Linked DNA regions of Oryctolagus cuniculus. The protein of the gene in region 1 interacts with the protein of each later gene in a biochemical or structural test. Links are inferred from orthologs where the notes say so. Each region holds a gene or a part of one and is shown in the gene's direction. Other genes may lie near its edges. The genes, in order: PDK1, AKT1, PDHA1 and RPS6KB1.

Region 1 (7,287 bases):
ATGCCTTCAAGTTAGTTGCAATCTACCACTCAGAGCTAGCAGAGACCCTAAGGAGACAGTCTCTAGGAAACCCCTGCTCCCCCCTGTTGTCGTGGATCCGTTCTGAGAGGAGGAGCGTGGCGGGGTCAAGAGGCATGGAGTCACCACAAAGACCCCAGGAGTCGGGTGAAAGAGGGCTTGAGGTGAGCAGCCAGCGGACTCTTTTATTTCAGTTGGTACAGCAGCTTATATAGCAGAGGCAGCCAATCAGGTCAAAGGGCGGCTTATGCCCTAACCAATCACAGCCTGCTGCCAGGCAGGCTCCGTTGCCAGGTGGGTTCTGAAGCCATTCCTGAGTAACTGATGCTGGCTTGCCAGTGGCCATCTTGGCATGGCCTTCTCATTCCACCACACCCCCCTATCTCCATGAGCCCAAGCCAATCAACATACGTATGTGTAAACCCCTGTATAATGGGCACTTCCAATAGGATAACCAGTGACCAGATACTAATGCCTTAAAAACCTGGGACACTTTCTCAAAGCCAGTGTCAGGCTCGGGCACTCCGCCTGGTCTCCTCTCGGACCAGATGTTTTCTCTGTCGCTTGCTAATTGAATAAAAGTTTCTGCCTCTTTGCAAATTGTTTCCCAGCTTTTTTCTATACTAAGCTGAGGAAAAGAACCCACAAGACTTGTTCCAGCAACCTCCCCTCCGTGACCAGTAACAGAGTTGAAACATAAAAGAATTTGGTGTTTTGTTTTGGGTCCCATCCCCAAGATATTTTATTCAAACAAATCTGAAACGTGAAACGCCTCTGTCTCAAGTTTTGGAACAAAAAATATAAAGCACACGGTAAAGAAATTTTGTTATCTCTAAAGCTCACAAGCACTGGGGTGGATATAGAGAAGCAGCGGTGCAGTCTTATCTGTGGCACCATCTAAGGCTCTAGCCCCCTCTGCCTTTGCTAGAAGGCTAGATGGCCAGATGGCCCAACCACAGGTGTCAGTGTCAGTGTCAGCTCCACCTCCACCCAATGGGATTCGCTGCTCCTACTTCCCTGGGCAAAGGTTTAACAGGACCTGTTCCCCAAACACACTCTCTCTCTCATAGGCTCTTCCTCTTCCTCCAACTCCAGTGTTTGGTGTGTTTTGCGACAGCCTTACAGAGAAGAGACAAGAAGTAGCTTTTAGTGTTAACTACAACTTTTGAGGCTCTATGGATGAAACCAGTGGCACACATAGGCTAGTCCTGTTGTTGCAAGAAACCTGGAGAGGATGAGTCCGAGTTTGTGTCCTGGTGTAGACATGGATATATGAGACCGGACACAACAGTGAGAGTAGAAATTTTACTTAAGAAAAAGAGAAAAGCGAACAGTGAGGGTGAGAGACCAAGCCGCTGAGATCTGCAGTCTAAGGGTATTTGTCCTTAACACATTATCTCCAAGGCCCAGGCAGCCTCTTTTTTTTTTTTTCTTTAGATATATTTATTTGAAAGTCAGTGTTACACACAGAGGGAAGGAGAGGCAGAGAGATGTCTTCCATCCACCAGTTCACTCCTCAATTGGCTGCAACACCCGGCGCTGTGCCGATCCGAAGCCAGGAGCCAGGAGCTTCTAATCCAGGTGTCTGTCCCACATAGGTGCAGGGGCCCAAGGACTTGGGCCATCTTCTACTGCTTTCCCAGGCCATAGCAGAGAGCTGGATCGGAAGAGGAGCAGCTGGGACTAGAACTGGCGTCTACATGGGATGCCAGCACTACAGGGGGCGGTTTTACCGCTACTCCAGAGGCAGTCTTAATGGAGTCTTTTCTAACTTGTTTTTAGGTAAACCTAGATCTTGTCGTCATTGCTAAGTATTAGAAGGGGCTTCCATCCTGTTCTGCTTATTGTTGGGAAGGAGTTATTGTGGTTATTATTGTTGGCTTTACTCTGGCGCTCCCTCATCACGTTCACTACTTAGAACCCGTACAGAGTGCAGCAGGCCAGCTGGGACCCTAAGACAGAGATGAGGGCAGCAGCAGGTGGACAGGCATTGCAAATGCCCCTAGGCTGTCGACCAGAAATGGCCGCAGAGAACGCTTCAGGCTGGGCTGCCAACTCGGCCCCCGGGCCGGCAGTCCCTGGGACACCACGTGGGGCCCCACGCGCGGCGCTCACCATCCGAGCCTCAGTTTCTTCACCTGTGCAATGTTGGGAGACGGAGCGCTTCCGGAACGCGCTCGCAGAAGGCCCCCGCTGTAGGCCCCCTCCAGACTTTGGGTTGAGGTTGTGAGAGGAGAGGAAGAAGGAAGGTGTGGCTTGTTACAAAAGGGCGTGGGAATGGGGCCCATGGCCCCGCGGACCTCGCGGCAGGGCGTCGGGCGCCAACGGCCATCCGCAGGGCTCCCCGCGCCTAGCGGCGGGTCTGGCCTTTTGTCCACCTCGCTCGTGGGCGGCCCCGGCGCGCGTCCCGCCTCTAGGGGAGGGGGCGGGGCTTCGGCCGAGACGCGCGCGCACGCGCCGGCTCCGCCTCTGACCCCGCCTCCTTTCCCCTCTGGGCCCCGCCCAGCGGCGCGGGGGGCCGGCCTCCGGCGAGGGGGGCGGCGGCCGCGGCGGTGACAGCCGCTCCCCGCCCCCGCGGCCCGCCACGTCCCTCACGTACCGCCCGGCTGAGGCGCCAAGCGGCGACCTGGCGCCGGGGCTCCGGCTCCTCCAGCGGGGCTCGGCATGAGGCTGGCGCGGCTGCTGCGCGGAGCCGCCGCGGCCGGCTCGGGCCCGGGGCTGCGCGCCGCCGGCCCCCGCGACCGCCGCAGCCTCGCCTCGGACTCCGGCTCCGGCCCGGCGTCGGAGAGCGGCGTTCCGGGCCAAGTGGACTTCTACGCGCGCTTCTCGCCGTCCCCGCTCTCCATGAAGCAGTTCCTGGACTTCGGTGAGTGCGGCGCGGGCCTCAGGCCTTTGTGCGCGGCCCGGGCTGGGGGCTGTGGTCGCCGGGGCCCGCGCTGGCGCCCCGTCGCCCCCGGAGCGCCCTCTCGTCCCTAACGTCTCCCCGCTCGGCGCCTTGGGTGCTTCCTTCCTCCCTCGCGGGGGCCCCTCTCACGGCTCAGGTAAATGGGGCGTGGGGCTTTTCACTCCGTGGTTGAAAACAAACCCGCCGGGCCGCGGGCGGAATGACGCCCCGCCTTCCGGCGCACGTGTGCTGCGCGCTCGGGGCCGGCTCCCTTCGGAGCTGCAGGCTCAGGTGAGAGCCGCGGCGTAGACGCCTCCGGGAATCGCCTTCGGATTCCGCGGAGGGCTGAGAAACGCGCCTCTTGCCCACGATGATTGCACAGGACTTGGCAAGGGAAAGCAAGTTAGAAGCGGTCTCGTGTTTTCTTGGAATGTTTTCCTGGCCGGTGGCTGAAGGGTGCTGCCACCGACCAGGGTTTCATCCGCCGCTGGCAGACGGGTCTTGAGCGCGTGTAAATTGCATCGGTACCAGGTGTTGTGGAGTTGGCCGCGTGCACGCTGGTTTTCTCGAGGTGCGCGACAGATTGCAGAAGGAAGTGCGGATGGGGCGTTTCGCTTCGACTTCCAGCACGGAGTGAGCAAGGACAGGGGAGGACAGGTATCAGCTGTTAACAGTAAAAGTTTGAGTAGAGAAAGTTATCTTCGCGCTAGGAGTGCTACCAGGTCACCAGCATTGTTAGTGGACTCCAAAGATACCGACATCGCTGGTGACTTTATCTAAAAATTGGTTTCCAGTGGCAAACTTTTTTTTTTTTTGGCTCGCAGCCTTCCGTTTTTGTTTTTCCTAGGATGATGAAAGGGTGAACTTGACCTTGTTCGAAAGTATGCTATTTAAACTTTCACAAGACTATGTTGTCCTTTAGTGCTAGAATGTCCTTTAATGTCCTTTAATGCTGATTCCTAGTATTGACAGTCTTAGTTTTGCTAAGGTTGTCTCTGCTAAAGTAGCAACGTTAATTTAGCTTAAAATCCGTTACTGAAATAATCCGAGTTTTTAGCTTACTTTAAAAAAAAAAAGATTTATTTGACGAGAGAGAGATCTTCCATCCTCTGGTTCACTCCCCAGATGGCCCCAACAACCAGGACTGGACCAGGCGGGAGCCAGGATCTTCTTCCGGGTTCCCCAAGTGGGTGTAGGGTTGCCCCTAGACTTGGACCATCCTCTGTTGCTTTCCCAGGCACATTAGCAGGAGACTGGATTGGAAGTGGAGCAGCTGGGACTCTTAACTGGTGCCCATAGGGGATGCTGGTGTGCAGAGGGTGGCTTAACCTACTGTGCCACAGCACCAGCCCCTAACTTTATTTATTTATTTATTTATTTATTTATTTATTTATTTATTTTTACAAAGCTTATTTGGCAGGCAGGCATGCTGCAGAAAAGCTCCCGTCCACTGGTTCATTCCTCCAATGCTCGTAACAGCAGAGACTAGGGCATGCTAGAGCAGGGAGTGAGGATCTCAATCCAGGTCTCCCTAGCAGGAACCCAATTACTTGAGCTGTCGCCCCTGCCTCACAGATCTGTATTAACAAGAAGCCAGAGTCAGGAGCTGGGGCCAGTGTGAAGCCCAGCCATTCTGACACGGGATGCTGTTGTCTTAACGGCCTGGTTAGACACCCTCTTGTTTAGTTTACCTTTAGACCAAATGGAGCTGCTTGCCAAAGGTCATTATCTGACTGTTCTGCTTAGGGTCCTGATACGGAAGGGTAGGAAGCGGCAGGTGGCTTTCAGGAATCTGTCAGTTGTATGGGACCTACTTGAAGAGGATTGCTGAGCAGGTGTTTGTGTTTATTTTTTAATGCCTGAAAGCCCTCCTTGTTGCTGCTGGTAATTAGTATAAGTGGTTCTACCTGGCCTCAATCTTCCCATTACAGGTAAAAGTTTCCCAGTTTCTTGGATAAGTCTTCACACTTTCTAGAGTTAGGGGACAGATTTTCTAAATGGTAGCAGCAGTAGAGTGGATAGGGTAGGATAGGCTTGTCAGGTTCTACTGTTGGGTGCTGAGCCTGACTCAGACACGGCTGTGGTTACCTTAGTTGTAAGAGGATCTTGGATGTTGCATTACAGTAATGATGCAGCAAAGGGAGATAGCAAAGTACTTTAATTGTAGAGAGCCATTTAATTGAAATGGCAGGGACTGGAAGGTCATTCTGGGGTGTGATGTCCCTAAAGGCTAGGTTATCCCATCCTTCTCCCGCAGGCACGGGATATCTTCACCTCCTGGGCCCTTCCCAGCACTGGGGTGATTGAGAACTCTTGTGTTTCTCTCTGCTGCCTGACTTCTGCCGATGGCTTTTATTTACTGCTTTCCCTGTGGCCTTTGGTTGCAGGATCGGTGAATGCTTGCGAAAAGACCTCATTTATGTTTCTGCGGCAGGAGCTGCCTGTTAGATTGGCAAATATAATGAAAGAAATAAGTCTCCTTCCAGATAATCTTCTCAGGACGCCATCTGTTCAGTTGGTGCAAAGCTGGTAAGATTCCCATGTTGTGTTTGCGATGTCCGTGGAGTTGAGAGTTTTACTCAGTGTTAAAGTAAATGCTTTCTTACTCTTCAGGGGAGTCTTAAGGCAATAGCGATATTTCTCTTCCTTTCTTCTTTTTGGTGAATCTGGGTTTGCTTTCTGAATGCAGCCGGAGCCATGCAGAAGCACAGACAAGAGCTCTAAGATTTGTGTTATAATATCTGCAGGGATATTGTAAGTGGAATGCCTACCATCAGTGAGTGGCTGGGTATTTATACACATTACCTTTCATCTCTTTATCCACCCTGCATCCTAGATATTTTTAAATTCCATTTTGCATATAAGTAAACTGATGCACAGAAAGTAATAGTAGATGTGGAATTCAAACCCAGATTTGTATCTACTAAACCATGCGTGGTCAGAATGATGAAATACATTAACACGTGTATCTTTTATAAACTGAATTTACTTTATTAAAGTAGATCTTTTTGGACATCACAAAAGTTAAAGTTTATTCTTCCATTTAAAGACAGAAGTTACTGGAATCATTAACTAATTTCTCTCCCTAAAATAACACTAGGAGGTGTTAAGGGTATATACTCATGTGACAATTGATGTGCAGCCTTTGCTGTTAATAGTACTAATTTTAAAAGTATTCTTGTAAGCACTACATGTTTCAAACAAGAGAGATGACCAGAGGTACATTGTATATTGACAAATGTAGCTGCAAGATACTTCCCAGTTATAATTTGTGGAGTTCCTCATTTTGCTGTCCGCAAAATGTTTGTGGGAGAAGCATAAGCAAAAGCAATGTGGCCATTCTGTATATGATAATCAGATGCTCTCTAGGCCAAGTATGGAGAAGTTGAAAAGGCGGTTTAAGAGGCATTGGTTAGGCATTGTGATGGAATATAAATAAAAATTTTCAAGGAAATTGCTTTTCTGTTTTTTTAAATTTTTCATTAAAAATGGAAATTGTTGCTTTTTGAATGGTCTGGTCTGTGCCTTGCACATTAAAGATACTCAAATATCTGTTGAGTAAAGAGCATAGTTTTTCCTGCCAAGGAAGAGAAAATTAAGGGTGAGAGTGGCACAGCAGCTATCTGAATCACTTGACCTGGAATGCAGGGAGGCACAGGCTGGTCAGGAACAGCTTGCCAAACCAGCCTATGGATTTAAGATTTAGAAATGCTCACTTCCCCTGGACGCCTGCTAACTGGGCGCGGTCATAGATAAAGAGCTTTCCAGCAAGCCAAGCAGATCTTACACTGTTGAAAAGGTACTTGAATCCTCCTGAAATATTTTTAGCTCTGACCCTGCAGTGCCATTGTACTTGGCTACATGACCTTGAAAGTCAAGTGGCCTTCCTCATTTTGCTTATTCCTAAAAGCGTGCTTTGTTAGCTTGACTTGTTAGGTACATTAAAAACTTAACTTTTCATCACTGTGTGTTTTTGTTCATTTCTGTTTAAAAGAAGTATTTGGTAGATTATAGGCTTTCAACAAATATTTGTTGCCTGACCATAACTGTCTGAAATTCAGATTTTAAAGCACAGGCATTTAAGTTATACTCTTAGATTAAGGTAGGCTGGCCTGCTTGTTTTATGGTATCTCGACTGCTCTAGATCCTATAATAATTGGTGACAGATTCAAGTCTTATGATAATCAGTATTTATACTATAATGTACAGTGGGGCTTAAAAAATTTAAAACTATTTTGGGGTATAGAACTTAAAAAGGAGTAGGAAATCTTAAAATTCTTATCAAATTTAACCTAAGCTTTAAGGGGAAAGTGTGTACTTTCTACCACTTTGTGTGTAGTACTTTGCTCAAACATGAAGAGTATAAAAATCCTACTTCAAACATT
Region 2 (6,712 bases), on another chromosome or scaffold:
ACCCGGCCTTGGGTGTGGGTCCTCAGAACCCAGGTGTGGGACTCGGGACTGGATTCTCAGCCCCCTGCCCGAGCCCCGGGTACCCCCAAGGTCAGGTGCTCAGCACAGGGCCTCCTGGGCCCGGCAGGGGGCTGTGGGTGCATGGTGGGCCCCAGTGGGGGGTAGGGGTGAGGCCTTGGGCTGGGCAGGGCCACCACCTGCCCCAGGTGTGGCCCCACCTTGGGAGGCAGAGATCCCGCCTCGGTGCCCCTGGGGAGGCGGCCCTCGGGGCAGCTGCTGGCCGGTGAGGACCCGTGTCTGAGGGAGGCCACTCCGTGCCGCTGCTCGGACCCCATCTCTCTGCTTGCTTGGGGCTGTCTGTACTCTTGGCCCGGATCCAGGCCAGGAGGTATCCCCTGGGGATGTTCCGGAAGCCCCCAGCACGGCCAGGGCAGCAGCCCCTCCCCAGGAACGGACAGACGGGGTCAGCTGGTCGTCCGGCAGACCTGGGCTCACTCCCCTGGCCGGCCTGACCAGGTCGGGTCCCCCTTGTGGGAAGGCTCGGCTGGGCCGTCCCTCTTGTCACAAGCCAACGAGTGGCCTGGGCTGGGCCGTGCTGGCTTCAGGCTGCAGCGAGGCCAGCGCACGTCAGACACGGAGGGTCGTGGGCAGGTGAGCAGGAAGCCTGCCCCAGGGAGGAGATGGGAGCCACGGAGCGGGCAGCCCAGGGGCCTCACCCGGAGGGTGATGGGACACGCCGGGCCACCAGAGGTTCAGTGACGGATGAGGCTGAGGTGGGGTGGGCGTCCAGGCGAGGGTAGAGGAGCCCACAGCCCCCGGCACCTCCACAAGGTGGTGCCCGGCTGTGTCCTCTCCTGCGTCCGAGTGTCCTCTGGTCAACTCCACCCGCCTTGCCTGCCTGGTAGGGGGGCTTCCTGGGAGGGTGGGACAGGCCCGAGGCTGGCAGAGAGGTGGGCCTGGCGGTGCCAGCCCCTGCCGGGCCGGAGTGGCACTGCTCACCCTCCCCTGAGGACCTGGGCCGGGAACGCAGCGCTGGGCAGCTGGGCAGCTCCCCGAGGGCTGGTGGCCTTGGTCAGACTGGCCCGGTGCCTGCTGCGGTGAGGGGCACAGGGACCCCCGCAGGCAGTGGTGGCCACCAGCAGGCCCTCTGCTCAATGTGCCGGAGAAGGTGAAGGCGCGGCAGCTGTCGGCAGGATGGATGTGCTGGCGGCGGGGGACCGCAGGCCTGCTGGGGCTCACTTCGCTGTGGAGAGACAGCCCGGTGCTGCCTGGCACCCTGCCAGCCTGCACCCGCCGCCGCGCAAAGTGCCAGCCCAGCAGTTTGCTGGGGACCGGGAGCGTCCAGAGGATGTGCGTGGAGGTGGGGACGCGGCTCCAGCCCGTCAGAGCCGGGCAGCGTGGACCCCGAGACTGCCCCCGGCCACGTCGGTACTGGCTGTGAGCTCGCACAGGCTGGGCCTTGCGCAGGCCCATCCTGTCCCCAAGCATTGTGTGGTGTCCCCGAGGCCAGAGCTGACCCAGGCCGGGTCGCAGGAAGCTAGCTAACCCTGTCACCCTGCTAAGGGCAGCCATCCCCTTCTCCCTGTCCCGGGCATGGTGGCCTGGAGCCTGGACAGGACCTGGGGCTCCGTGCAGCACCTCAGGGGCCACCACTGTGCTCCCAGCCCAGGGCTGGGTTCCAGGCTGTCCTGCAGGTGGGCCGGCCAGCAGTGGGGCGGGAGCGGGTCCCACCCGGGCATCTGCACCTCCTGATGGCAGCGCCTGGCTGGACCTGCCTAGAGGGCAGCTGAGCCTGCTGGAGAGGCCCTGGGTGGAGCCTGGCACCGCCACAGGTCTGAAGGGGGGGGGGGGCGCTGAGGAGACCCTGCGCTGGGCGCCAGTCGCTCCCTGCCAGAGGCCCAGGCCCCTCTGGACCTCGGGGTGGGCAGGTGCCAGTCTGCAGGTGTGCAGTGGCCTCTGCCCCCACCCTGGCGGGGCCGGGGGTCTCAGGTCCCACGTTGCTTTGGCTGAACTTAAGACGAGGGCTGTAGCCCAGGCACGGCGAGCACTGTGGGTCCCCATGGGCCTGCCTGGCCGGACGCAGAGGCAGAGGTGTCCCTCGGCCTGCTCCTGGCCCCCGTGGAGGGGTCTGTGTGCTGAGGGCAGCCCCCTCACCGACACTGGGGGTGGGGGCCCTGTGTGTGCCGTGTGGCGCAGGACCGAGATGGATTTCTGGGGCGCGCGCGGGTGCTCATCAGTCTCCCCGCTCGCTCAGCGTCCTGGGGAGCGGCAGCTGGTGGGATGGCAGGCACTCCATCAGGGGCCGACAGCTCCAGACTGGCGTGCAGGCGGGTGGGCACGGCGCCGGGCGGCCCGGGACGGGGGGGCTGTGCAGCCCCCAGAGCCCGCTCCGCTCGCCCCCTGGAGCCCCTGCCTGCCCCCACCTGCCCAGAGGGGGTGCCTGTGGTGGGCTGGAGCCTCTTCCCTGAGGGTCGCCCTTTGCTCCTGCCAGAGGCCCCGGTGGCCCCAGCCTGGCGGGGCGGGGTGGGGGCTGCCTCCAGGCTCTCCCAGGGGGGTCCTGGGTGGGGAGGGCGGCTGGCCCCAGGACCCTGCATACAACCCCTCCCAGCTGTGGGGGGCACCCTCATGAGGGGGCAGAACCTTGTCCTTCCCCCAAAGCAGCCCCCGCCGCACCTGAGCGACCGCCCCCTGCATTGTGGGGTGGGGCCTGTTAGCTGGCCTGCCCCCCTGGGCATCGGGGTGTGGCCTTACTCCACTGCTCTGGTCCTGCTGGTGGGCTGGCTGGAATCAGGCCCACCCCAGTCCAGGCACAGTAAGCACCCAGGGGTGCTTGGGGGGGCCTCTTAGAGCCCTGGGCTGTGAGGGGGGTGGCTGGGGTGCAGGTCCCAGCCCAGCCCGGGGCTTCCGGGTCCCATCTGCAAGTGTGTCCAGGACCAGGGTGCAGAGTGGCAGCTGCCGGGCACCTGGGGAGGGAGGGCCACTGCCCTGAGTGCCTTGCCCAGGGGACGCCTGCCGACCCGTGTCCTCTGAGCTCCTCTGGGGGTGGCCTGTCCCTGTGTCGTCCCCAGCTCTCAGCCCACAGTGAAGCAGCTGCCTAATTAGCAACTTCCCTGTCGTTCAGACTCTGTGCTCGGCAAAATGTAAATGAGGCGTTTTCTCGGGTGTCAGTGTGAAAAATGGCGCAGCGCGGCTCCACGGAGCATCTGCCGTGTCCCCGAGCGCCGCGGTACTGGGGGAGTCGGCCCCCGCGCCTGGACCAGGGGCTGTCCCAGGGTGGGCGGCAGCTCTGCCCTCGGCCCCAGGACTGTGCTGCTGGCCCTTCCTTGCCAGTGCCAGGCTCTGTCCTCTTGGCTGGAGGCCGGCTCAGGCCAGCAGCCACACCCTGGAGCCTGGGTGCCCGGCCAGTGCCTGAGCTGGGCACCAGCTGACCTACTGCCTCCCCCTCCAGGAAGGCCAGGTAGGTGGGCCCAGGCCTCCTCCCCGTGTCCCAGGTGTGCAGGTGGGCCTGGCCCCTTTCCGGCGCAGCGAGCCTGCCTTCCCGTCCCCCACCCTCTGCCTGGCGTAGCTGGCCAGCGACCTGGACAGGGGCCCTCACCGCCTGTGTCCTCACAGGGGAGTACATCAAGACCTGGCGGCCACGCTACTTCCTCCTCAAGACTGATGGCACCTTCATCGGCTACAAGGAGCGGCCACAGGACGTGGAGCAGCGCGAGTCCCCACTCAACAACTTCTCTGTGGCACGTAAGTGTCCCCTCGGCCACTCCGGGTTGGACGTGGGGCGGTGCCTGGAGTGGTCCGTGCCCTGTGGGACTGGGGGCCAGCCCTGGCTGGCGGGGGCCTGGGCCAAGCTGCATGGCTGTCCTGTGGAGCTGTTCCCTGAGCCTCCTGCCCAGAGGGGACAGCTCGGGCTATAGGGAGCCTCCAGGCTCTCCCAGGGGGGTCCTGGGTGGGGAGGGCTGCTGGCCCTAGGACCCTGCATACAACCCCTCCCAGCTGTGGGGGGCACCCTCAAAGCTGGCCAGTGCCACTTTTTCCCCTGCCTGGCTCCCCAGTTGTCCCTCCCACGATGCTGGCTGGGGCCGGGCAGGTCCACTGCCACTTTCTACCACCTGGCAGCCCAGCTCTGCCCTGGGGCTGGCCTGGGGCAGCTGGGGGCGATGGGCCTGCCAGCCGTGGGCCTCTGGGTTCTGCCCCTCCCTCTCCTTGGCCAGCACCCTGGGGTCCTCTGGCCCCTGGCCTTCAAGGGCCACCCAGGTTCTGGTTTGGGGGCTGCAGGGAGGTCTGGCACAGGTGGCTCGACCTGGGCGTCGCCCTGCCTGTGGGCATCTGCGTGGGGATGGGCTGCGGCACTGGCTGCTGGGTCATCCCTCCCGGGGCCCACTCTGTGCTAGAGGAGGGGCCTGGCCGTGGGGATTCCCGTGAGCCCCAAATGCCACCCTCCCCGGCCTCAGGCCCAGCTTCCTGGGCCGGAGGCCACCAAGGAGGCGCAGGCCAGTTCCCTGGAAGCCTTGCTATGCCCGCTGTGGGGGTGAGGCAGGAGGGGCCTCTGCAGAGGAGCCCATGGGGGCAGCGCCAGCCGGGGGCAGGGGGCGCTGCCTGGCCAGGGCGAGAGCCAGCGTGTGTGTGCGGAGGGCCTGTGTCCAGGGGCTCTGCCTTGTGGGAGGACCGAGTGAGCTTCCTGCCCGCACAGACACAGGCCGCCTCCCACCAGGCTGGGCCCCGGGCCCCCACGCAGCCCCTCGCCCGGCAGACCTGGCCCTCGTGGTTGCCAGGGTGCTGGTGCTGGAATGCACACGCTCCCCGGCTGTGGGCGTGCGTGCTACAGGCACACGTGTGGCAGGCGTGCGTGTTCCAGGGGCGTGTACTGTAGGTGTGCGTGTTCCAGGCGCGTGTACTGTAGATGTGCATGTTCTAGGCGTGTGTACTGTAGGTGTGCGTGTTCCAGGGGCGTGTACTGTAGGTGTGCGTGTTCCAGGCGCGTGTACTGTAGGTGTGCATGTTCTAGGCGTGTGTACTGTAGGTGTGCGTGTTCCAGGCGTGTGTACTGGACTTCCGGTCAGGGTCTCCCAGCGACAACTCGGGGGCCGAGGAGATGGAGGTGTCCCTGGCGTGCATGTTCCAGGCGTGTGTACTATAGGTGTGTGTGTGTGTTCCAGGCGTGTGTACTATAGGTGTGTGTGTGTGTTCCAGGCGTGTGTACTGTAGGTGTGTGTGTGTGTTCCAGGCGTGTGTACTGTAGGCGTGTGTGCTCCAGGCGTGCTGCAGCTGTGGCTGTGGCAACAGCAGGGCGTTCTCGCCCCTCCTTGGGCCTGGGCACCCCTTGCCCTCCAAGGCCTTGGAAGGTGACAGTGACCTGCCTCGCCCCAGCCCCAGCCTTGTGGGCAGGGGAAGAAGTGGCACCTGGCCAGCTTGGAGGGGATGTGCGCAGGGGCCTGGGCCGGCAGCCTCCCTGTAGCCTGAGCTGGAGGAGGGCCCTGGGTAGTCTGGGGCTCAGACGCTTAGGGAGGGACCGTGGCGGGGGCTCACTCCCCCCGAGCAGAATGTTCAAACTGGAGTGGGGCGGGAAACAGCCTGGAGGAGGGGAGTGGGGCCTCCTGGGGCCAGCGGGGGCAGGAGCTGATGGGCACCCCCGGCCCTGCCCCCAGAATGCCAGCTGATGAAGACGGAGCGGCCGCGGCCCAACACCTTCATCATCCGCTGCCTGCAGTGGACCACGGTCATCGAGCGCACCTTCCACGTGGAGACCCCCGAGGAGCGGTACGCACACTGCTGGCCCGGGGAAGCTGGGGCACAGCCCCGCTGCGTGCCCCCGGCAGCTGTGACCGCTGGCCCCCCGACCCCTGCAGGGAGGAGTGGACGACTGCCATCCAGACGGTGGCCGACGGGCTCAAGAAGCAGGAGGAGGACACGATGGACTTCCGGTCAGGGTCTCCCAGTGACAACTCGGGGGCCGAGGAGATGGAGGTGTCCCTGGCCAAGCCCAAGCATCGTGTGGTGAGGCTCCGGCTCTTCCCGGTGCCCCGGGCCAGCGGCGGTGGGCAGGCGCCGCTGACCCCGCTGACCCGCCTGCGCACCCCGCAGACCATGAACGAGTTTGAGTACCTGAAGCTGCTGGGCAAGGGCACCTTTGGGAAGGTGATCCTGGTGAAGGAGAAGGCCACGGGCCGCTACTACGCCATGAAGATCCTGAAGAAAGAGGTCATCGTGGCCAAGGTGGGCGGGGCCGGGGCGGGGCCGGCGCGGGGTGGGCGGGGCCGGCGCGCGCTCACCCGCCCGCCTTGCAGGATGAGGTGGCGCACACGCTCACGGAGAACCGCGTGCTGCAGAACTCCAGGCACCCCTTCCTCACGGTGAGTGCGGGCCCTGCGCGGGCGGGGCCCGACCCTCGCCGGGACGTCCGGGGATGTCGGGGTGGGGGAGCCTCCTGGGGGGCTCCGGCGCCGTCCCACCCGCCTTGGCTCTGCCCCGCAGGCCCTCAAGTACTCTTTCCAGACGCATGACCGCCTCTGCTTTGTCATGGAGTACGCCAACGGGGGCGAGGTAGGGCCGGCGGGGGCGGGGCCCGGGGGAGGGGCGGGGCGGGGGCGGGCCCTCGGGGGGCAGGGGGCGGGGCGGGCGGGCCCGGCGCCTCAGCCCCCTCCCCCGCAGCTCTTCTTCCACCTGTCCCGCGAGCGCGTCTTCTCCGAGGAGCGGGCCCGCTTCTACGGCGCCG
Region 3 (7,417 bases), on another chromosome or scaffold:
TGGGACTGGGGACTCTATTCCTTGCTCTTTCCCCCCTCCCTGTGCCTACTCCAATGCCTGACTCAGAATTGGTGTCTAACAAATAGGTGTTGAAGGAATGCAAGAATGAATGCATGTGTATGCATAGAGCCGACAGGGCTCCTGGACGCACACAACCAATGTCAGCTCTATGCAGATGACTCCCAAATTTATATTTCTAGCTTGTGTCCTAGACTTACAACTGCCACTTGCTGGGGGACAACTTCGGGGAGCTGTCCCACCACTGCCTGCAGGCCAGCAGGTCCACAAACGGTCAGGCCGGCTTCTCTAAACTGGCCATCTGGCCTCGCACTCTTCTCATTCTCCTTTCTCCAGCTTCCACATTCTGGCAGCAGCAGCATCTGCGGAGGCCACGCTGGGCAGCCTGCTTCACTGCCATCCCGTCCCTCTCAGCCTTTAGGGAGCGCTCATCGCGTGGCAACCTGGTCATGGAAGTACAAGTGTGAAGACGTACCAAGTCCTCTACACTGTTGCTGTCCACCCAATTTTCTGGTCTCCCTCCTGCACATTAGAGGAAGTGATATGTGTTACTTCTGGCAGAAGCTTTTTTTTTAAAAACAAACAAACAAACAAACAAATATGTCTTACGGGTTAGATCATTCTTTTTTTTTTTTTTTAAGAAAGATTTGAAAGGTGTGAGTGACAGAGGAGGAGGGGAGGCCTTCTATCTGCTGGTTAGTAAATGGCTGCAACAGCCAGGGCTGGGCCAGGCTGAAGGCAGGAGCCCAACACATCATCCTGGTACTCGGGCCATCCTCTGCTCCTCTGCTGCTTTCCTAGGTGCATTACCAGGGAGTTGGATTGGAAGCAGAGCAGTTGGGACTTCAGCTGGTGGTTATATGGGATGCTGGCATCGCAGGCATTGGCTTAGCCCACTCCACCACTACGCTGATCTCAGGCAGAAGCTCTGAGAGCCATTCGAAGTGACAGCTTTTCCCTTCACCGTGAGACAAGCTAAGTTCCAGACAGAGGTTGCTCCATCACTCAAGGTTCCAGAGAAATGACATGGAGTGCAGTCCCAGCCAAGCTGTGGAAGTTGTGGTATGAACAAGCTAAGTCACTTCATGTTTTTTTTTTTTTTTTTTTTTTTTTGACATGCAGAGTGGACAGTGAGAGAGAGAGACAGAGAGAAAGGTCTTCCTTTTACTGTTGGTTCACCCTCCAATGGCCGCCGCGGCCGGTGCACTGCGCTGATCCGAAGGCAGGAGCCAGGTGCTTCTCCTGGTCTCCCATGAGGTGCAGGGCCCAAGCACTTGGGCCATCCTCCACTGCACTCCCTGGCCACAGCAGAGAGCTGGCCTGGAAGAGGGGCAACCGGGACAGAATCCGGCGCTCCGACCGGGACTAGAACCGGGTGTGCCGGCACCGCAAGGCGGAGGATTAGCCTAGTGAGGCGCAGCGCTGGCCAGTCACTTGATGTTCTTAAAGAGACTAAAATTTGGGGTTGAGTGTTACAGCAACATAACCTAGCTCACTCTAAATCAGTCCAGTTTCTTCCTAACTCCTTGAGTCATTCCTCGCAAGTCACAGTCTAAGCCCCTCATCATTGTGACCGCCATCCTCTGGATGCCACTCATTTTTGTCATTATCCTTCTTTAAATGGAGCCAATTCAGAACCCAGAACCTTAGGTGCAATTCCAGCAGGGCCCAGCAGGATGGGTTTCTGAGCCCTGACTCCTCTCTACAGAGCCCAGTTGCTTTGGAGTCTGTTTCTCTGTGTCCTTTTATCTTTGGCTGTGTCCTGCTGTTAACTCTCTTTGAGCTTCTGAATCAGTAAGTAGAGCCAAAAGGTTTTTCCCACTGACTCCTCAGTATTTAGTTGGGGAATCAGCAGCATTTTACAACTGTTATGTGATCCTTTACCTATTTGTTTTTCTTTGAAAAGCAGAGCGCACCCTGCTAGGCAGCAGGTGACGGCTCCGCTCTAGTAGTTGGATCCCTGCCAACCACGTGGGAGACCAGATTGTATTACGTGATCTTTTAAAGCCAAGTTAGTGGCAGAATCACTTACAAAGACTGTACCGTCTATCTTTCGGCCCCGGCTAGGCTGCTAATCTTCATCATCTCGTGTGCAGAGCCAAGGCTGCAGTTACAGCACCAGCAGGACCAGCCACACGTCAGGACCAGCCTGAAGGCTACCACCGTCGTCTGCGCAGAATCCAACCAGAAGGCTGGAGGCGGGGACCCACTCTCCCACGCAGGCGCCTTCAGATAGTCGACCCCTCCCTCTCCCGCCGCATGGTGACGCGAGGAAGCCGCAACTCCGCCCCCCATGGCGCCGACACACAATGGGTGGTCGCAGGCCTTTCAAGTGGGCGGAACACAGCCTGGGAGCCGTCCTGGTTGGCCCGCGGCCCGGCGCGGCGCATGACGTCATTCCGACGCCACGTCGCGTTGCGTTTAAGGCGTGGCTTCTGCTGGGGCGCCTGAAGGAGACTTGGGGTCGGCTTAGCAGTTCCCCTTGGGCAGTTTGGGAGTCGCCGTTGTTGCAGCTTCTTTGCGCTCCATGAGGAAGATGCTGGCCGCTGTCTCCCGCGTGTTGTCTGGCGCTGCCCAGAAGCCGGTGAGGCGGCCCGAGCCAGCGGCCTGGACGGATCGGGATGGAGCGCGAACGGGACCGAGGCGGTGCCGGAGGAGGCCGAAGGGCGGGCCGGGCCTCGGGGCTCGCAGTTAGACGCGCTGCTTGGATTGGGCGCTGAGTAAAAGATGCGGCGGGGAGCCGGGGGAGCTGCGGGCTTTTGCTTTTGCCTCCACGCCGTGCATTCTGCGTCTAGTCTCGGGGGGGAACGGCGCTGGGCGGCCGACTGGGGAGGGGGGGCAACCCCTGCCGGGTCCGCGTGGAGATCGGTCACGACTCTCCGGCTCTCCCCGAGCCCAGCTCCGCGCGGAGCGATTAGGTGTGCTCGAAAAGTGCCCGTTGGTTGCAGGGTATGGAGGGGGTGCCTTAAGCTTGTAAGAGTCTTCACTTGACCCCACTCATTTCAGTTCTCCCTAACTTAATGTTTGTCTTGGCTGAGAGGTCCTTTAGTGGGTGTTAGTAAAGAGCGTGGAATCCGGAAACGAACTGGCTGGAATTCAAACAGCAGTCCTGTGAGCTTGGGCAAGTTTTGAACGCCCCCCCCCCACCTTCCACCCCGCCCAGTGTCCTTATCTCTAAAATGTATATGAGGGTACCTACCTCGTGGGGTTGTCTGAGGATTCTACGAGTGACGCGTGCGTAAACGTTTCCGACTAGCACCTGGCACATAGTGGGTACTCTGTGTTGACCGCCCAGTTTGGTGTACGTTTGTGGGTGTCTGAGGGTTTAGACGTGGTCACGCTCCCCAGGAACCCACTTCCTCTCCGGCTTAACTTTTCTTGGCAGTGGAAAGCGGTCCAGCGGAACCCACAGGAAACTGCTCTCCCCCCTTAAGTGCGGGGGGGGGGGGACGTACACACATCCCCTTAGGGTAAAGGTGGCTAAAGGAAATCGCACTTAAGCTATTTGCAGCCCCAGTTTTCAGATGCGCCTTTCACCTGAGCTGCTAGCATTTTGACCTCTGGGCACAGTGAGATGGGGTTACTTGGTATAACTGCAGAGCCAAGCTTTGACTTGTAATTCCGGTTCTAGTAATTCTCCCAGGACTCGATGCAGCTGTGCCTAGTCTGGGCAGAGGTTGTCAAAAGGTAGCGGCTGAACCCCTCTAGGAATCCCATTTACTAAGATTTACAGGAGAATTTGATTGATCAGAACTGTATTGACCTTGGAATTGTACTGGGATTGACCTGATGGCGAAGCACAAGGGGCATTCCTTTTTTCTGCCCACACGCAGGCTCCAGCCACCATTTCTTGAGCTCGCAGTATGTGCTAGGCACTAGTAGATACCTCCCAGCTTTATCTCGTTGAATCCCCTAGCATTGGTTTTTAGTGGAAAAACAGCAGTAGAAACGTGTTTGCAGCATTGTGCAGTGCTTTAGTTATCTGCAGAAGTTAAGTGGCCTTTCCTTTCTGCTGTGAGATTGGATAGACTAGAAGTGCAAAAGCAGTAGAAACTTTGTTATTGAAGCTTCGCACTTAGTGGAAAGAAACAGTTTCCCAGGAACTTCAAAGTTAAACTTGGGAGGTGTCAAGAATTTGAATTGCGATTGGAAACTAATAGATAAAAAGTTTCCACTGTCAAACCTTGCTAGCAGAGTTTCTGCCTTTTCTCTAAGTCATCCCTTTTGGTGATACCGGTTTGTAGATGTACCAGTACTTAGGGGCTCAGAAACACCCTTAAATCGTTATTATTAGGCACTCAGGTTTATTCTTTTCCCCTACCTTCCAGTAGGAAAAAAAATTGAGTTCCAGCAGTCAGGTCACCCTAAAGTACCCAGGCAGCTTCCCACTTGGTGCAAACTCTACAGATAGTTTTCTGTGTGACTATACGTGTCACGTGCTAGTCAACTAGGAGGCATTTCTGAAACTTCTGAAGATGGTAAGGACCAGATGTTTCACCTTTATCTTTTTAAAGGATGGAGTAATAAACCAATGTGTCAGGGTTTACACATTTTATTTGAAAGGCAGAGATGGACTGAGAGAGATCTTCTGTTTGCTCATTCAATATCTGCAATGGCTGGAGCTGAGCCAGCGGGAGCGGGAGCCAGAATCTTAGTGTAGGTCTCCCATGTGGTTGGCAGGAACCCAACTATTTGAGCCATGACTGCTGCTTCCCAGAGTACATGTAGCAGGAAGCTGGACTTGGGAGTGGAGCTGGGTCTTGAACCCGGGTACAGTGGGATTCAGGTGTCCCAACCAGCATCCTAACTGCTATGCTAAATGGCCAACCCCTGAGAATAACTATATTTTGTGATTTTTTTCATACTTATGGATGTCTTTTTATTTAAATATAAAAAACAAAATAATCAAGGTTTTTACTTTCATATATATGTAAAAATATTTTTTGCAAATAAGCCTTTCAAAAATCCTGATAATAATCAACTGCGACTAACCTAAATTAGGCAAATTGGGTACTAGAGTTGCACCATCTGTGTGATACTCAGAGAGGGAGGGGATGGAGAAAGGTCAAGTGGTTCGTTTGATTGATGGTTGTGACACTTTATCCACATTGTGCCCTATCTTGCCTTCCAGAACTCTGTTTTTTCCCCTTTTCATTTTTTTTTTCTTTTCTCCTCTTAAAACCAGGGATGTATGGTGATTTATCTCAGGCTTGTCGATTATCATTGTATCATGACATGTTTGGCAGGAAACTTTGAATGAATTACAAGCTTGTGATTTATTTTTGAATTAAATTGATAGTTTTAAAAATTCTTATAGAAGACTGAATTGCATTTAAAATCATAATCTTTGTCTTAGTGTTTTTATTTGTTGCGACTTCTTTTTTTTAAAGAGGTTTATTTGAAAGGCAGAGAGAGAGAGAGAGAAAGAGAAAGAACTGCTAGTCATTGAGTCTCTCCTCAAATGGCCACAACAGCCAGGGCTGGGCTGAGCTGAAACCAGAGCTGGGAACTCCATCCAGGTCTCCCATGTGGGTAGCAGGTTTCCTGAGCACTTGGGCCATCTTCCGTTGCCTTCCCAGGTTTATTAGCAGGGTGCTGGATCAGCCAGGACTCAAACTGGCATTCTGAAACAAGTGTCAGCCTGACACTGCCACAGCACTGGCCTCAATGACGTGAGATACTTTTTTTTTTTTTTTTTAAGATTTATTTATTAATTTGAAAGAGTTGAGGAGAGAGAATCTTCTATCTGCTGGTTCACTCCCCAGATGGCTTCAACGGCTGGGGCTGGACCAGGCTGAAGCCAGGAGCCAGGACCTTCTTCCAGGTCTCCCACTTGGGTTGTGGGGCCCAGGCACTTAGGCCATCTTCCACTGCTTTCCCCAGGTCATTAGCAGGGAGCTGGATCAAAAGTGAAGCAGCCGGCACATGAACTGGTGCCCATATGGGATGCCAGCATCATAGTGGCGGCTTAGCCCACTACACAACAAGACTGGCACCCTTGGAGATCTTTACTCCTAGTATTCTTTTGGCTTTTTAAATAATAGGTAAGATTTCTATTTGCCATTGGTGGAATCTGGAATTTTTGAAATGTTTTTCCCCTTGTTTTTCACTTGAATGCTTCTAATGTATTTAGGAACTCAAGTTTTTATTTGGGGGCCGGCACTGTGGCGTAGTGGGTAAAACCACCGCCTGCAGTGCCGGCATCCCATATGGGCGCTGCTTCAAGTCCCAGCTGCTCCACTTCCAATCCAGCTCTCTGCTGTGGCCTGGGAAAGCAGTGGAAGATGGCCCGAGTCCTTGGGCCCCTGCACCCGTGAGGGAGACCCAGAAGCTGCTCCTGGCTTCAGATGGACTCAGCTCTGGCCATTGTGGCCATTTGAGGAGTGAACCAACTGATGTACGATCTCTCGCTCTCTTTCTCTGCCTCTATGTAACTGCTTTTCAAATAAATAAATTTTTAAAAAGTTTTTATATGCCGAAATATGAATGGCTCATGGTCTCAAAGTTTGACAGCTCTCCAGAGAAAATCAATGGTAACCTTTTCAGCAATCTCAGTTAAAAGTTACAGTACTTGTGCTTCTGATAGGACTTTTAGCTTTCTTAACTTTGCTCCTTCTTCCCGCTGTATCAGTGGTTCTTAGTTTTTTGAGGTTCATAATAATGCAACAAGCAGAGAAAGGAAGTAGCTGTCAATCAGAACCTTGGCCCTTCCTGCACTCCGGTATAAGCACTTCATTCTTCATTCTTCATTGTTTTTACTTTAGAATTGAGAAGTTGTTTAGCTTTTTCTTTGTTATTATTTCCTGCCTGGTTTGGTCCCTACATTTAAATGCTTCCAAAGACTGCAGTTTCTGCAGTTGTATCTAGAAACTTATTTCACAGTATTTCTGGTCCCTCAAATAATTTGTTAGCCGCCAAAAATAACATCATTTCATGATTGCCAAACATAACCTTTTGTTTGCTACCTCACCCCGTCACCTTTACTTATTCTGAGACACATTAATGGACTTCCTCTAACTTAATTGAAGCATTGATTCCTGGTACTTTTCCCCTTTGGCTGTGTCATTGCCTGTTGGTTCTATCAGATAATGGTACAGTAGTCCTCTCTTATTTATGATTTCTCTTTCCTTGGTTTGAATTGCCAATGGTTCAAAAGTGATGGAAAATTCCAGAAATAATAAATTGTATGCCATTCTGAGTCGCATGGCGAAATTTTGTGCTGTCCAGATTGAGGTATGAGTGGCATATCCACACTCTATGTGTGACCTGCCTGTTAGTCATTTACTTGCTGTCTCAATCATCAGATGGAGGGTCTCAACATTCCAGGGCTTGGACCAGTATATAGGGTTGGGTTCTATTCTGTGGTTTCAGTTGTCCACTGAGGGTAAGGGGACATGAC
Region 4 (6,712 bases), on another chromosome or scaffold:
CATTCTGAACCATTTCTTTTCCCCATACATCCCCTCACCCCACTAATTTGGACTTTGGTGCATGTCTGTTTCTTTCAAGGAATTTTGCTCCATACATAAACTGCTTTGGGTAGTTTACTTGTTTTAATTTTATTAAATCATTTTTGTTTCCAGCTTTTACTTGGCAGAAATCTCCATGGCTTTGGGGCATTTACATCAAAAGGGGATCATCTACAGAGACCTGAAGCCGGAGAATATCATGCTTAATCACCAAGGTGGAGATATACTGTAAACATTTTTATAGTAAATAATAATCTTAAAATCCTCGCACACAGGCTGTGGCCATTTTCAAAGCCCCATATTCATCTCTATTATTATACATTTCCTCCCTCAGTATTAATGGCATCATAATACTTGCTGGTGTTTAAGTATTATAGTTGCTGAGATTAAAGGAGTTGAGGATAATAGCCACTCAACTGCCTTTTTCAGTTTAATCCTTATTCTTTATAGCTTTTCTTTGCCTTTTTTTTAAGTCTTTGCACAAAATATTATGGACCAAAAGCCAATTGAAACATTATTTTGATTTGTTTCTTTTTTTTTTTTTTTTTTTTTTTTTTTGACAGGCAGAGTGGACAGTGAGAGAGAGAGACAGAGAGAGAAAGGTCTTCCTTTGCCGTTGGTTCACCCTCCAATGGCCGCCGCGGCCGGCGCACCGCGCTGATCCGATGGCAGGAGCCAGGATCCAGGTGCTTTTCCTGGTCTCCCATGGGGTGCAGGGCCCAAGCACCTGGGCCATCCTCCACTGCACTCCCTGGCCATAGCAGAGAGCTGGCCTGGAAGAGGGGCAACCGGGACAGAATCCGGCACCCCAACCGGGACTAGAACCCGGTGTGCCGGCGCCGCAAGGTGGAGGATTAGCCTATTGAGCCACGGCGCCAGCCTTGATTTGTTTCTTAAATTGAAAAGTGAATCTTAATGGAGTTTTATTGACAATGCACAAATATTTTATGACAAATTTTACTAATGTTGAAAAAAGGGAAAGGATTGGAATTGAGCCAGATATCTGATATAGCCTTGAAAATAAAATATTTAGTGGACATCAATTTATTCTTGCTGTCTGGTTCATTGTTTCTCCTTTCTATCACCACCTTCCCTGAAAAGCTAGATTCTGATTCTGAATTCTAAAGCAAAGAATTAGGAGACGGATAGAATAGAAAACAACTTCTTTGATCCATAAGTTTGAGTAATTTAGGTGTTTATTTGACAATGAAAGACATATGTATCAGAGTATAGTATGTATTTACATTTCAATTAATAAGTTATTGCCTTTTCTTTTCTCTGCAATGAATCTGAGTCCCTAGGGTTGTTGAACCACTGGTTAATAACAGTTCAGTAAAGCTGAACTTGAATTGAAATGATCTTTGTGGAAGGTGATGAAAGTTTCAGTTTCTGGATCTGAGATGATTAACCCATGCCAATTTCAGTTCCTTCTCTTAACTGGTAGCACTTGCCAGAAGAGGCTAACTTGTTACAGTGACTTTCTAAGATCATTTTAAGAACTTTTAAGTCACAGTTTACTGTGATAAAGGCTATTTAAAGTGTAGTGTCACACTTTTGTTGAAACAGTGCAGCATATGTTTATTAGGGTCTGTGACTTGAGCCAGACTTAATAAAGATTTTTCCCTAGGACTTTGCTTTCTCAGAGTGGTAGACGATTCTCCGTAAAGCTATGGATAGGTGAAGCTAGGGGCTTAGACAAATGGATTAACTTTCTTCTGTTTTGTCTTTATCATCATTTATCATTTATATTGTTGGCAAAAGGTGATTCTACCCTAGCCTTCAAGTGTTAGCATTCCATTTTATGGATGGCACCTTGTTAGTTCTTGATATCTGCAAGAAGAGTTTAAGGCAGGAAACACTGAATAGAAGGATAGATTATTGTTTTATGTGATATGCTCAAATACTGCACATACTTAGAACTCTTGGAATAATCATGCTATAATCTTTTCATTGTAGGTCATGTGAAACTAACAGACTTTGGACTATGCAAAGAATCCATTCATGATGGAACAGTCACACACACATTTTGCGGAACAATAGAATACATGTGAGCTGAGTGTTAAATGTAACTGGTTTGGGATTGATAGCTAACCTTTACCTAGTTTAATAATAGTGTCTAAGTTTTCTGTAGCATCAGTGACTCCATCTATTTTTTTAATTTTCAGATATATAAATGGTTGAATTTTATGCATGCTATTTTTCTCATTGTAGGGCCCCTGAAATCTTGATGAGAAGTGGCCACAATCGTGCCGTGGATTGGTGGAGTTTGGGAGCATTAATGTATGACATGCTGACTGGAGCAGTAGGTGCACAGTTAAAAGCTGCATGTATTATGGTCTTGTGCTGAGTAGTTTTCAAATCATTATCACAGGAGGCCATTCCTGTACTTTTTGAAAATGTGGAATTATTTTCAAGCCTAAAAATTTATCAGCAGTTTAATTCTAATAATGCCTTATGATTATATAGGATCCATCCTTTTATTTATTTTTTAAAGATTTATTTGAAAGGCAGAGAGGCAGAGAGAAAGAGAGGTCTCTTATCCGCTGGTTCACTCCCCAGATGCCTGCAATGGCTGGAGCTGTGCCTGTCTGAAACCAGGAGCCTGGAGCTTCCTCTGGGTCTCTCATGTGGATGCAGGGGCCCAAGGACTTAGACCATCTTCTGCTTTCCCAGGCCATAGCAGAGAGCTGGATTGGAAGTGGAGCAGCCAGGACACGAACCATCGCCCATATAGGATGCTGGCATTGCAGACAGCAGCTTTATCCTCTATGCCACAGCACCGACCTCTTGGGGGTCCATCCTTTAAAAAACATTTTTATTTTATTTTATTTATTTTTTTATTTATTTTTATTTTTATTTTATTTTATATGTTGGGACTGGTGTTTTGACTTGTAAGTTAAACTACTGCCTGTGACACTGGCATTCTATATGGACGCCAGTTTGAGTCCCATCTGCTCTATTTCCATTCCAGCTCCCTGCTAATGTGCCTGAGAAAGCAGTGGAAGATGGCCTAACTGCTTGGGCATCTGCACCCATGTGGAAACCTGGAAGAAGCTCCTGCCTCCAGCCTGGCCCAGCCCTGGCCTTTGTAGCCATTCTGGGAGTGAGCCAGTGAATGGAGGATCTGTCTGTCTCTCCCTCTCTCTTTTTATACCTCTGCCTTTCAAATAAATAAATGATCTATGTAATGGCAGTCCTGTGAAAGAGATGTAGGTTAGATAATGTCCTCACTTTATAAATAGAGAGATCAAAACATAAAATCACATGCTTTGCCAAGTATCACACAAGTGACTGGTGAAAACTCAGGCTTCATTCCAGGTCATTGCTGAACTCCTCTGTGATGCTTCTTGAAAACTACAGGTCTTCAGTAGTCAGCCCATTTCACTGCATACATTTCTGACCACCTTGCATAATTGACTAATTCAGAAAATGGATGATATTCTTTAAAATGTTTTTATATGCTAATTTAATCTCTTTTCTACCCTTAGCCCCCATTCACTGGGGAGAATAGAAAGAAAACAATTGACAAAATCCTCAAATGTAAACTCAATTTGCCTCCCTACCTCACACAAGAAGCCAGAGATCTGCTTAAAAAGGTAGTTTTTTAATGGGTACTCGAAATATAAGTCTCAATAACTAATTTTAACTGGGTAGAATCTAACATTTTGAATAAAGAATCATACAAGGTATTGAACAAATAAAGCATGCAGTTTATGAAGGCATAGTACCAATTTGTTTAAAGATTTTTTCTTTTTATTTTCAGACTATTTAGTAGTAACTGATAAATTACATTTTCTAAAGGTAATATAAATGAACAAATTATACAAAGGGAAAAAATAAATATGATTGAAGTTCTTTATCAATACTTTATTTGTTTCCCCCTTAAGCTGCTGAAAAGAAACGCTGCTTCACGTCTTGGAGCTGGTCCTGGGGATGCTGGAGAAGTTCAAGTAGGGATTGACATATTTGGTGTTCTGGGAAAAGACTGCTTATTTTGCTTATTTTGTGTTTGTCAGGGTTGTATGTAGTTGCTTATAAGTTTAGCTGATTTTGTGATTTGTCACTTCAAACAGTTAATTTGTCATCCCAGTAAAATCTGTTCTCCTTGTCTTTCTCTATTCTTTTTTCTAGGCTCACCCATTCTTCAGACACATTAATTGGGAAGAACTTCTAGCTCGAAAGGTGGAGCCGCCCTTTAAACCTCTGTTGGTATGTATCCATGAAAACAGATAAAATTGAGGGACTTTGTGCTTTTCTAGAAAAAGAAAAACCTTAGAGCAGTTTTAAACATATTTTTAAATTCAAAGAACTTTGGTCTTCTCTTTAGAATCTTTATTTGGTATTTTGTTTACAAGAATTAATGCCAGTGGTGACTGATGACTATATTAGCTATTATTTCAAGAAGTTGAGAATTTTTTTCCCCTAATTTAACCGACTGTAAACTTGATTCTCTGGGAATTTTTTGTTCAAAATGTAGGATATATGTGTAATTTGCTAGGCCTGCTATATCAAAGTACCACATACTGAGTGGCTTAAGTAATAGAAATATATTTTCTCAGATCTGTAAGCTAGAAGTCTAAGATTAAGTTGGCGGGATTGGTTACTTTTTTTCCTTAAAGGTTTATTTTATTTATTTGAAAAGCAGAGAGAGGGGAGGGAGGGAGGGAACAAGGGAGGGAGAGAGAGAGAGAGAGAGAAACAGATTTTCCATCCATAGGTTCATTCCCCAAAAGGTTGCAATGATTGGCGCTGGGCCAGGCTGGAGCCAGGAGCTTTATTCAGGTCTCTCAAGTGGGTGCAGGGGCCCAAACACTTGGGCCATCCTTTGCTGCTTTCCCAGTTGCACTAGCAAGGAGCTGGATCAGATGTAGAGTAGCCAGGACTTGAACTGGTGCCCATATGGGGTGCCAGTGCTGCAGGCAGCAGCTTTACCTGCTTTGCCACAGCACTGGCCCCAGATTGGTTGTTTCTGAGGACTGTGACAGAGACTAAGTTCCATGCCGTTCCCCTAGTTTCTGATGATTTGCTGGCAATTTTTACCTATCTTTGGGTTATAGATATATCACCTGGATATCTGTTTTTATGTTTATTTGTGCTCAAACTTACTCCTCCCTTTTTAAAAATAAATTTATTAATTATTTTTTAAGGAAGACAAATTTCATAAGTACACTTTAGGAATATAGTTATTCTTCCCACCATACCTCCTCCCTCTCCCCTTCCCAGTCCCATTCTCCATTAAGATTCATTTTCAGTTAACTTAGTACACAGAAGACCAACTCTATGCCAAGTAAAGATTTCAACAATTTGCACACACACATACACAAAGAAACTGAGAACTAAATTTACAGTTAACTCTCATAATACAACTCATTGAGGAGTTGTATGCATGGGGAGTTAGTGCACAGTGACTCCTATTGTTAACAATTAACACTTTTGTATATGAAGTCAGTGGTCAGTGACCATATGAGGCTCTTGACATGAGTTGCCTAGGCTATGGAAGCCTTTTGAATCCACAAACTCCGTCAGTAGTTAGATAAGCCCATAAGCAAGGTGGAAGTTTTTTCCTCCCTTTAAAAAAAAAGTACATCCTCAGCTGGCACCATGGCTCAATTGGCTAATCCTCCACCTGCAGCGCCAGCACCCCGGGTTCTAGTCCCGGTTGCCCCTCTTCCAGTCCAGCTCTCTGCTGTGGCCCAGGAAGGCAGTGGAGGATGGTCCAAGTGCTTGGGCCCTGCACCCGCATGGGAGACCAGGAGGAAGCACCTGGCTCCTGGCTTCGGATTGGTGCAGCACACCTGCCGTAGCGGCTTTTTGGGGGGTGAATCAATGGAAGGAAGACCTTTCTCTCTGTCTCTCTCTCACTGTCCAACTCTGCCTGTCAAAAAAAAAAAAAAAAAAAAAAAATCCTCCTTTGATGGCCACTTCTTTCTGCTGGGATCTCACTCAGAGATCCTTCATGTAGAACATTTATTGCCACAGTGTCTTGGCTTTCCATGCCTGAAATGTTCTCATAGGCTTTTCAGCCAGACCAGGAAGCCTTAAGGGTTGATTCTGAAGTCAGAATGTTATTTAAGTGATTATCATTCTATGAGTCTGCTATGTGGACTGCTTCCCATGTTGGAACTCCCTCACCCCCTTTTTATAAAATTCTTTATTTAAAAGGCAGCTAGACCGGCGCCGTGGCTCACTAGGCTAATCCTCCGCCTAGCGGCGCCGGCACACCGGGTTCTAGTCCCGGTTGGGGCGCCGGATTCTGTCCCGGTTGCCCCTCTTCCAGGCCAGCTCTCTGCTGTGGCCACGGAGTGCAGTGGAGGATGGCCCAGGTGCTTGGGCCCTGCACCCCATGGGAGACCAGGAAAAGCACCTGGCTCCTGGCTCCTGCCATCGGATCAGCGCGGTGCGCCGGCCGCAGCGCTCTGGCCGCGGCGGCCATTGGAGGGTGAACCAACGGCAAAGGAAGACCTTTCTCTCTGTCTCTCTCTCACTGTCCACTCTGCCTGTCAAAAAAAAAAAAAAAAGGCAGCTAGAGAGTGTGTCCCCATTTCTGGTTCATTTTCCAAATGGTGGCAACAGCCAGGGCTGGGCTAGGCTGAAGACAGGAGTCAGGAACTCATCCCCGGTTTTCCATGTGGATGGCGGGAACTCTACTGCTTGAATCTGCTGCCTCTCAGGG

Evidence for each region.
Region 2: of the proteins of PDK1 (region 1) and AKT1, one has a biochemical effect on the other in vitro, tested with the Homo sapiens proteins (3 studies listed by BioGRID and IntAct, with this or other methods). The link is inferred for Oryctolagus cuniculus from reciprocal best matches to the Homo sapiens genes PDK1 and AKT1.
Region 3: the proteins of PDK1 (region 1) and PDHA1 form a complex in vitro, tested with the Homo sapiens proteins (2 studies listed by BioGRID, with this or other methods). The link is inferred for Oryctolagus cuniculus from reciprocal best matches to the Homo sapiens genes PDK1 and PDHA1.
Region 4: the proteins of PDK1 (region 1) and RPS6KB1 form a complex in vitro, tested with the Homo sapiens proteins (2 studies listed by BioGRID and IntAct, with this or other methods). The link is inferred for Oryctolagus cuniculus from reciprocal best matches to the Homo sapiens genes PDK1 and RPS6KB1.

The regions. Positions count from the first base shown.
Region 1 is NC_091434.1:68,567,754-68,575,040, reverse strand, and holds the start of PDK1 (pyruvate dehydrogenase (acetyl-transferring) kinase isozyme 1, mitochondrial), read left to right. Parts: upstream 1-2,557; 5' UTR 2,558-2,682; coding exon 2,683-2,884; intron 2,885-3,161; exon of another isoform or gene 3,162-3,559; intron 3,560-5,289; coding exon 5,290-5,431; intron 5,432-7,287. UniProt on the Homo sapiens protein: Kinase that plays a key role in regulation of glucose and fatty acid metabolism and homeostasis via phosphorylation of the pyruvate dehydrogenase subunits PDHA1 and PDHA2.
Region 2 is NC_091451.1:46,974,664-46,981,375, reverse strand, and holds part of AKT1 (RAC-alpha serine/threonine-protein kinase), read left to right. Parts: intron 1-3,612; coding exon 3,613-3,741; intron 3,742-5,645; coding exon 5,646-5,757; intron 5,758-5,846; coding exon 5,847-5,994; intron 5,995-6,081; coding exon 6,082-6,213; intron 6,214-6,284; coding exon 6,285-6,350; intron 6,351-6,471; coding exon 6,472-6,540; intron 6,541-6,648; coding exon 6,649-6,712. UniProt on the Homo sapiens protein: AKT1 is one of 3 closely related serine/threonine-protein kinases (AKT1, AKT2 and AKT3) called the AKT kinase, and which regulate many processes including metabolism, proliferation, cell survival, growth and angiogenesis.
Region 3 is NC_091453.1:5,375,528-5,382,944, forward strand, and holds the start of PDHA1 (pyruvate dehydrogenase E1 component subunit alpha, somatic form, mitochondrial), read left to right. Parts: upstream 1-2,409; 5' UTR 2,410-2,545; coding exon 2,546-2,602; intron 2,603-7,417. UniProt on the Homo sapiens protein: The pyruvate dehydrogenase complex catalyzes the overall conversion of pyruvate to acetyl-CoA and CO(2), and thereby links the glycolytic pathway to the tricarboxylic cycle.
Region 4 is NC_091448.1:35,209,767-35,216,478, forward strand, and holds part of RPS6KB1 (ribosomal protein S6 kinase beta-1), read left to right. Parts: intron 1-153; coding exon 154-254; intron 255-1,995; coding exon 1,996-2,086; intron 2,087-2,250; coding exon 2,251-2,341; intron 2,342-3,527; coding exon 3,528-3,635; intron 3,636-3,926; coding exon 3,927-3,989; intron 3,990-4,170; coding exon 4,171-4,248; intron 4,249-6,712. UniProt on the Homo sapiens protein: Serine/threonine-protein kinase that acts downstream of mTOR signaling in response to growth factors and nutrients to promote cell proliferation, cell growth and cell cycle progression.